2 linked regions of the Saccharomyces cerevisiae S288C genome follow. Changing the gene in region 1 together with any one later gene gives a genetic interaction. Each region holds a gene or a part of one and is shown on either strand. Other genes may lie near its edges.

What was found.
Region 2: of FPR3 (region 1) and NMA111, extra expression of one rescues a mutant of the other (dosage rescue), as found in Saccharomyces cerevisiae (one study listed by BioGRID).

What each region holds. Positions count from the first base shown.
Region 1 is NC_001145.3:119,026-123,389, reverse strand, and holds FPR3 (peptidylprolyl isomerase FPR3), read left to right. Parts: upstream 1-2,065; coding exon 2,066-3,301; downstream 3,302-4,364. Other genes in the region: 60S ribosomal protein eL6 RPL6A, read left to right, coding at 1-163. UniProt on the Saccharomyces cerevisiae protein: Proline isomerase that belongs to an abundant class of enzymes that catalyze the cis-trans isomerization of X-Pro peptide bonds and can accelerate the refolding of proline-containing polypeptides. Specifically binds nuclear localization sequences.
Region 2 is NC_001146.8:392,450-398,178, reverse strand, and holds NMA111 (Nma111p), read right to left. Parts: upstream 3,495-5,729; coding exon 501-3,494; downstream 1-500. Other genes in the region: mitochondrial 54S ribosomal protein bL35m MRP35, read left to right, coding at 1-156; NAF1 (RNA-binding snoRNP assembly protein), read right to left, coding at 3,809-5,287. UniProt on the Saccharomyces cerevisiae protein: Nuclear serine protease which mediates apoptosis through proteolysis of the apoptotic inhibitor BIR1.

The DNA of each region.
Region 1 (4,364 bases):
AGAACAACAAAACAAGGAAATCAAGGCTGAACGTGTTGAAGACCAAAAGGTTGTCGACAAGGCTTTGATTGCTGAAATCAAGAAGACTCCATTATTGAAGCAATACTTGTCTGCTTCTTTCTCTTTGAAGAACGGTGACAAGCCACACATGTTGAAATTTTAAATATAATTATTTTAACGAACTTCTATAATAATATATATGCAGGTAAAATTATAATTTAACTACAGTTTCATAAGTGCATTTGTATTGAGCATTGGTTTTTTATTCGCATATTTATATCTTCATTGCGGCAATCACCCAGAGAAAGGGCGTGAAAAGAAAAAGGAATACATTATTTCAAGTTCCTTTGATCTTTCCTATAATGTAGACTTTCTTGGCGCAAGACTTGGATGCATCATACAAAATACAAATTGTTAAGCAAAAAAGTGTCGCTCTGCTGTAAGCTTTGTGATGTTATATTTGATCGTATGGTGAGGAAAAACAATACACCTCATGTTATATAATGATCGTTGTTTTAGGTGAGATGTGGAAATAGAAGAGAGATTTTTAAACAAAAAGTAAATGGTTTTAAACGTTGGCAATAACAAGGCCTGCTCACAGCAAATAAAACGGGAATAGAACAGGAACGGGAATAGAACAAAGATAAGAAAATTGAAAGTAGAAAAGACAAATAGTGAGAAACAAAATGCAAGAGAAAATGCATCGCTTGAGCCCAATGTTCCTACCAATATTAAGGGGATTTCAGGTATCAAAGTCGCATTGACGTATAAAATACTCCAAAAAATGCGCTCTGTTTACTTTGTTATCTATGAAATGAGGAAAATGCAACCGGTGAGTGTAAAAGCATCCTGCAGGAATTTGTTACAACTTCATCTCAGTTACCAACATAGCCAACGGACGTCGATATTGTCCTTTACCCCACTGGTAGTGAAATACTTTCGAGTAAATGTCAGGACGTTAGAAATCATCCGAGTCATGCTTCGACTCCATGTATTTTTATTCTCTAAGTGTGCTTTGGAGTTTCCCCGCGAGTTCTCACAGAATTGGCTTTACTGCCAAAAGTTGAAGACAGCATAGTCATTGGCTTCGTCAAAAGATCTTCATTATTTAAAGCAAGCAATGATCAATTCTAAGACGGGTTAACAAAATATGGACAGAGCATCTTCAAGCAAAACTAATGCGGCAATGTTAAGCTTACATATATTCGAACGGTAATAACATCGATAATACGGTTATAGCCACCAACTCTGCATTATAGAAATGAGAAAAGCGCCATAGCTATTATTTAACGTAACTTACCAGAAGTCCTTGAGCAGACGATTGAGCATTGAATAAAAAATAAAATTCTTGTAATTCTTGGAAGGAAGAACGACACAAATAGATAAATGGCGTATTTTCTGAGCAATGAACTGTGTTCCATCAAAAACATTTTATCGCACACCATAGGCACTTAGAAAAACAAACCTTTGTGCCAGTATTTGAATGAAAACACTTTGGTTGAAATGTATTGTGAAATTAATCATCGAGCACTTTACGGTTGGCAACGACACATTACTGACGTTCTTTCGCCGATTTGTTACTTTAATATATTGTACAAAAATGCATCAAAGAACATAAAAGAGAGCGATCGCACAATCAAACTTCTTTTGGAAATAATCTGTCATCAATGCTCCAAACATTCTACTATCACCTGTTCATGATATTATGGGGAGAATATGCCAAATGTATATGACACATCGCATACTTTCTACCTTTTTCAACTGGCTTGCTTCCTCTACCTTTCACTAAAATCTGGATTGCATCTACATCTATATAGTCAAAACCGGCAAGAACAGAGATTATGATACATGCTTCATGTTCCATTGATTAGAATCCACTAGTATTAGCTCGCTGTTCAATTTTCAGCCCTCTACGGACTGTCGTCATTCCTAAAGGACGGCAAAATTTAAAAGTGAAGGTAAAATTTTTAAATTCGAAAAAAGAGCCTACTAACACGTTTCTATATAATACATAATTGTGTGAAAGTTCATACATAATTGAAAGCAAGCATCCAACCAGCCCAATATGTCTGATTTGTTACCACTAGCTACCTACAGTTTGAATGTTGAACCTTATACCCCGGTTCCAGCAATCGACGTCACGATGCCCATCACCGTTCGTATTACTATGGCTGCTTTGAACCCGGAAGCCATCGATGAAGAGAACAAACCATCGACTTTAAGAATTATCAAAAGAAACCCGGACTTTGAAGATGATGATTTTTTAGGTGGTGATTTTGATGAAGACGAAATAGACGAAGAATCCTCTGAGGAAGAAGAAGAGGAAAAAACCCAAAAGAAAAAGAAGAGTAAAGGCAAGAAGGCTGAAAGTGAAAGTGAGGATGATGAAGAAGACGATGACGAGGACGATGAGTTCCAAGAATCCGTCCTTTTGACTTTATCTCCGGAAGCCCAATACCAACAATCTTTGGACTTGACCATTACTCCAGAAGAAGAAGTCCAATTCATTGTCACTGGTTCTTACGCTATCTCCTTGAGCGGTAACTATGTTAAGCATCCATTTGATACTCCAATGGGAGTCGAAGGTGAAGACGAAGATGAAGACGCTGACATCTATGACAGTGAAGACTACGACTTGACCCCAGATGAGGATGAAATTATTGGCGACGACATGGACGACTTGGATGACGAAGAGGAAGAAGAAGTTCGTATTGAAGAAGTCCAAGAAGAAGATGAAGAAGATAATGATGGAGAAGAAGAACAAGAAGAAGAAGAAGAAGAAGAACAAAAAGAAGAAGTTAAGCCAGAACCTAAGAAAAGCAAAAAGGAAAAAAAGAGAAAGCACGAAGAGAAAGAAGAAGAAAAGAAAGCTAAAAAAGTAAAGAAGGTCGAATTCAAGAAGGACTTAGAGGAGGGTCCAACAAAACCCAAAAGCAAAAAGGAACAAGATAAGCATAAACCAAAGAGTAAGGTTTTGGAAGGCGGCATAGTAATCGAAGACCGTACTATCGGTGATGGCCCACAGGCTAAGAGAGGTGCCAGAGTAGGCATGAGGTACATTGGTAAGTTAAAGAACGGTAAAGTTTTCGACAAGAACACCAGCGGTAAACCATTTGCATTCAAACTTGGCCGTGGTGAAGTTATCAAAGGCTGGGACATTGGTGTTGCCGGTATGTCTGTTGGTGGCGAACGTAGAATCATCATTCCAGCACCATATGCCTACGGGAAGCAAGCTCTGCCAGGTATTCCTGCCAATTCCGAACTGACATTCGACGTTAAATTGGTTTCTATGAAAAACTAGTACACGCGCTCGTACGGATAGATGTTTATATATATTATTCTTTTTACATAATATTGTAACCTTCTGTATGTAAATCCGAAAACATTCTATTTCTTTTTAGTATCTATTGCTCTTTATAAGCTTTTCATTTTACTTTTCTCCGCGGATGATACAAATAAAGAAGCTGTGTTGTATAGAAAGAAATATATGGCGGCAAAAAAAGCGTTATCTTCTTTCTGTTCCTATTTCACTGAGTGCTACTGGATGGTCGTCAAGAAAGGTGAAGAAATCTTCAAAGCAATAAGAATTCAGACATTGACGTTAAATTAGATTATCGCCGCAGCTGTAATTGCGGTTATGGCCTCTAGTATTTAGTTCGATGTTAATGAAATAAAGCGCAAGCTGACTGTGAACGATAACCGCCAGGAAGGCTAGACACAGCTCTTCAGCTAAACAGTAGCCGGAACACATATACATTAGGGAACATTAGAAATAAGGCTCTCGTTGATCATCCTTGTAACTGAAAATTAGAACCGTTAAACGCTGCTGATTGATGGATTCCAGCCGTTCTCTTCCAACCCCTTTTACCCCGATTGTTCGTCCACTATCATGACTTATTATCCACTAAAGTGGCGTTGGCTGTACATTCGGGTGATGGTAGTATGGTGAGCACATGCTTTAAGTCCGAGAAACTAAGCTACAAAACGGAATTTCAAAGGGCCCCATTTTTATCGGGTGGACTAAGGGAAAGAAAAGCCTTCTGGAGAAGAGTTGGAAGACCTCAGCGTAGTGCGAAGAAAACGTAGTGCGAGTCTCTACGCCCGCTCGTTTAAAACTCTATAGAACGTCCGAAAGAAAGGTCCGTACTAGCTATAGGATCTCTACTTTACCTATTATTATCGCTAGGTGATAGCTTATAAAACAATTCATCGGTTTCTTCCTCATTTTTCCTGTATCTTTTCGGCTATGAAAAGCTGTTGTTCGATAAATCCAGGCAAAGATTTTTGAAAGTTTAAAAGATCTAATTTTCAAAGGCATTCCTTTAAAAAAGACAACTTGAAAGAGCTATATTCGTCTTCGGTTT
Region 2 (5,729 bases), on another chromosome or scaffold:
TGGAGGCGTACCGGTAATACTTTTAAAAGAGGCATAGCTGGAAGAAAACATGGCAATATAGGCTGGTCCCATAGATCATTAAAAGCCTTAACCGGAAGGAAAATTGCCCATCCAGCTTATTCAAAGCATCTAAAGCGGTTATTACCCTATCATTGAAGGTGGAATAATTATGTTCTCCTCTAAACCAAACGCACCGTTAACCCCAAATCAATTGTTTGAGTATTTGCTTTCGGTCTTCATGTATATAAATAAGTATGAAACAATAACCATAAATTTATACAATCGATAATACCTTAGAGAATTCAAGCGTTGAAGTAATTAAATACTATTTCGTCAGGCGCTTGCAACCATCTCGACATCATAATCCTAACCCCTCAAAATGATTGAAAAACTTGTAAATCTTAACGCTCCTGTGATAGTCTATAAAAAAACTGTTCTTTATGGAAGACTTTGATGTATACATACATACATACATATATAAATGTTTTATCAAATCTGGCCTATTTTTCACTTTGGCTGTTGCCGGTAAATTCCTTTTCAATCCATTTGTGCGTGATGTTGTCCCTCTTCAATTCTGCAGTAGGGAAGTAATGATAATTCGTTTTCAGTGAAATAGCGAAGGGCACATTGTCGAAAGTCATTAACCTCATTTTACAATAACTATTATCAGGGATTGTTTTGACAACTTTCAAAAATGTATCTAGATCAGGTGTTTCAATTTCATTGACATGAGTTATGAAGTTTGTGGCAGATATACCGTACTGGAGCGCCGGTGACGATTCTCCCCTGAATGTACAGTAGACACCCTTTGGAACATCAACCATAGCTTGCAAAACAGCATGATGCGGCTTTTGTAAGATACTACCTGCAAATATTACAAAACGGTCGGTTTCCTGAACTTCCACGGTTTTAATTTTCAAATCAACAATATTACCATCACGAACAACTTTAAAATCTAACATGGCTGATGGCAAAATACCATCAGCTGAGCTTACAACTCCATTCAAATCATTCATTTCAGTGACTAATTTTCCGTTCACAGATAAAATGACGTCACCGGTCTCTAAATGAATCTTGTCTTCTGTATAAGAAACTCTAGAAACAGTGATAAACTGTAGCCTGTTATTTGATTCATGTTCCATACGCATGATCCATTCTTCGGGCACACCTCTAATTCTGGCTTGCAGAACGGAAATTGAACCGAACCCAGCATCAACTATACTTACTCTTGGTTTACCGCCATTTTTTAAGATATCTATAACTTCCCTACAGTCCATTATATCTAATCCCATCAAATAAACCTTTTCTTTATTTTCTAATCTTTCGCCTAAAAATGGAAGCCATAAACCTCTTACTGTACCATCATTATCTGTCAAAATACCGGAATTACATCTGGTGCTAACGTTGCAGTCGATAGATATAGCTTCTAAATTAGTGGCACGGTACCTCGGAATTAAATTACTTGGAATACTTACAGAGGAAATATCGGTGACAGTGGTCTCTGAAGTAACAATTCTATCATTCTGGGTAAAACCTATAAACTGAAGCTTATCACCACGTTTCATTCTGGTGGTAGATAGCTTGGGAGTGATTAGTGGAGCCTTTACTAACTCTGGATCATATTTAACAATAGCGAAGTTGTGAGTTGGATGGAGAAATTCTACTGTGGCTGGAACTACAAGGGAATCTGCAATGGTGACAAAAGTATCAAGACAATCATGTGGAACTACCCTTCTGGACACTAGGACATAACCTTTTTCAGCATCAATGATTAAGCCTGATGTTTTTAAAATATCAGCAGAAAGTGAATCCAATGGAACTGCTGCCATTGTAGCCACTGTACATAACGATGATGACAATTTTGCAACTTTTTCATTATTAACAGGAATAGGAATAATTTTGGCCGAACGAGGTTTCAACGCATCGGCTGGAAGTGGATCAGCAACATTTTTGTAATCCCAAATACCAGTTGTATCGTTCCTTGTGTAAACTCTGAATTCATTGCACCAATGACGGTCAATGTAAATAGAAGTAACAAGTGGAGAATGCTGATCTGTTAGATGGTGGTATCGTACAGTAACGCGCTTACGATCTGGAATAGTTTTCATAATTTCAATAAATGTATCTAAGTCGGGGGTTTCCTTATTGTCTATAGAATCCACAATCCAACCCACTCTTTCTTTTGAATCAAAGTTGAAAGACCCTGATGCACTACTTAAAAATACACCCCTGACAGGTAGCGCATAAAACCTTGCCATTTGATATGATAATTCATGAAAAGTCGCACCACAAACCTCTACATAACGATGAGGGGTGATAGCATGTAAATCACCAACAGTGCAGGTGACAGTACATTCGACACCGCCCCTTTGAATAACCAATTGGATTTCCTTCCCAACATTTTCATCTTGAATTTTATCCACTTGCATGAAAGAAGATATGGTTTCACCGTTTATTGAAATTAGAGTATCACCTTCTTTAATTTTATCATAGCCTGGGCCTTCTCTTAAAACGGTTTCTGCTACCAACAGTCCGATATTTTCGGGAAATTTAGCACGAGCCTCACTTTCTCTCTCTGAAGTTAAACCTAATCTTCTACACTCGTCATAAGGCTTCAGCAGCCATTGAACTTGAATCGTACCACGTGTGATAGGTTTGTTGGTTTGGATGCAAATTAACGCTCTAAGAATTCTATCTAACGGTAAAAAAAAATCAGTAGATGCCTCTGTAGAGCCACCTGCCTGTAAAGCCACAGCATACCCATCTATATTTACGACTGGAGAACCACTTGAACCGCCAGAAGCAGATGCAGCAGCTTGAATATATTCTGTATTGAAGTCATTGTATGTCAGCTCACCATATTCTGGAGCGTTCCTGTCAATTCTACTAATAAAACCTGCTAGGATACTTAATTTCTCACCGGCATCATTACCGACAACTCTAATTTCTGAGCCGACCTTAGCCAAACTTGGTTTTAGCGTTAACGCTTTGATCTTAGAATATTTTATGTTTTTCGGATCGAATTTGAGGAACCCAAAATCATGAACAGGATCTCTGTAAATTGGTATAACATCGCATTCTTCATGATTATCGAAAACTACGTAGCCTACGAACGGACCAGGACCAACGACGTGCCTATTGGTCAGAATTATACCTAATTTAGCATCCACGACAAATCCGGTAGCTTCAGATACCAAAGCAGAATCGCAATCGAATGGCGCAACTTGTGAAAAATGAATGGAAACCACTGATTTAACAACGTTGGAGATGGTATTTTGCCATCTTAGATAATTTTCTGAATCTGTGAGTACAGTGTTATTATTATTAGCAAAGTGCAACGGCTCTATAATGATTTCATGGTCTGTATATTCTTCCTCTTGATCTCCGGTGGCGCTTTCCAACTGTTTCCTTTTTACAAGCGATGATTCACCAGAAGTTCCATCGGAAATTTTAGAATGGTCTCTTTTCTTTATATTGCTCAACGATATGGTCATTAGTAGATCTAAAAAACCTTTACTGTACTCTACGTGTGTATTCAGAGTATAAATATCTTCTAAATAAACTTCCGTATTTAAACCCTCGTAGAACTTTTTTATTTACATATAAATTTTTTGAAAGTTTCATATCATCGCCTTGAGGAAAAAAAAAGAAAAAAAGAAAAATTATCATGTCACACGCTGAGATGGCGTCTAATAATGGTAGTGACAGTAAAATAATATTCAATTAAGAAACTTGTTAAATTTTTCTTGCCTCTTTCTAGTTTATCTATGATACATAGCATTTATTATTAAATATTTCAATCGTGACTCTAGGTTCTTGGATCTTGCTGATGCTGATGCTGATACTGGTGTTGCTGTTGCTGTTGCTGCAAAAGTATTTGATGTAATTCCATTACTTGTTGGAAATTACCATTTCCCTGAGGAGGTGCTTGAGGTGGCGGTTGGATGTACATTGGGTTTTGCATTTGATTCATGGGAGGTACGCCATATGGAAGTGGCGGTTGACTTTGGGTCATTGGCATGAACGACTGCTGTGTTGGCGGCGACATATTGTTGTATGCGGGAGGTAAGCTACCATATGGAACAGTGTTGGAGAATTGGGCCGGTGTCGCCTGCCCAAATGGTGGAGGTGGATACTGGAAGTTAGTCGGCTGAGGGAAAGGTGAGTATGGTGGATAAGGCATACCGTTTGGTTGTTGAGGGAAGGGATAATTATTTGCAGAAAACTGTTGTTGGTGGTGCTGTGTGATTGGCACTGGGGAGGAGCCATTCCGATTAGAGGTAGCACTGGATTCACGCTTGATATTTTCACGTGCGTTTCTTGATTTGTACCCATGTTGCATCGGAGCATTACTGCTCATGCCCAACGGCGGTACCAGTTTAGGTAAACTGTTGGCCTTGGGCTGCCGAGCTCTCTTTACCTTGACATTGTCACTATCGTTGGCTAGTTTGCGGTTGTCCCTTTTCTTTCGTTGCCGTTGCTGTTTCTTCATTTTCTTGAAAAGGGCCTCTTTTTCGTCGTCGGAAAATTCTTGTTCCTCTTCAGGTAATTCTTCATCGTACCCATTAGACGCATCAGTACCTTTGTTGCGCTTTAACTCGAAAGTATCTATCCAGTGGGCATCAGGGGTGACTATAAAGGCTTTCTCACCCAAACGCACTTTTAATTCATCGAATAAGTTTTTTTTTGAATCGGGCAACTTAATTCTATAAAATGGGTTTTGCAAGGGTCCAAACACCTCCGTCAACATCCCGATCAAAGTTCTATCCTCGAGACAGAAAATGGAACCCTCTTTTAAAACACGCTTTTCGCCCGACATCGTGGCGTGAATGATTATATTATTTTCAAATGCAGACTTCAAAACACCAATAGGAGTGATGATCGTTTTTTCTGAAATTTCATAATCTTCCGGTAGTTCAGGAACAGTTTCCTCTAGTATTTCGTTCTTCGATAGTATAGGACCGGAAGGTGAAGGGTCTTCGTCTTCGTCTTCATTTTCAATCGCGTCACCACCTTCGTCCTCTCCTTCAACGTCCTGATCTGCAGAATCATCCTCACTACCTGAAGAGCCAGAATCAGAATCAGAATCAGAACCGGAATCTGATTCGGATTCAGAAGAGCCGGATCCTAGGCCTGTTGATCTTTCTGCGTCTGCTACCGGTTCATCGGTCTTCCTCTCGTTCCCACCATCACCTAAAAGACCTAAATCAACATCATCCTTGGGCAATTCCACGTTCAAGTCCTGGTCGGGATTCTCCAAAGCCTTAGAAAACAAGTCATCGCTCATGATTAGCACTGTTTCGACGTGCTATATTGTGCTTCTTCCACTTTCATACCGCTTCATCCTACCTATCATCCTACCATCTTTTTCCTTTACCTTTAAGCTCATCGCCTGAAAAATTTCATGGCCGCAAAAAGAAACGCGCAGACCGTTACCCGAGTGGTAGTGCCTGACTCATTTATGTGCCAACTAAGCATTGCTCGAGAACAAACTAGTGAAAATGTAAACCAGGGAATTTATCATTTGGTCAAAGACCCTGACGAACTAAAACTGTCAAAGGCTGATAACGCAGTAAGAACAGACGGAGGCCTTATACCGCATCTTTGCAGACCACAGTTTCCTATATCTAGTTACAATAGCGCTTGCCGACGATAACCGAGATAACGTATCTTTGCCGCGGGCTATCTCGGCAATCTGCAAAAAAAAAAAACCCCCGCCGCTATTGAAG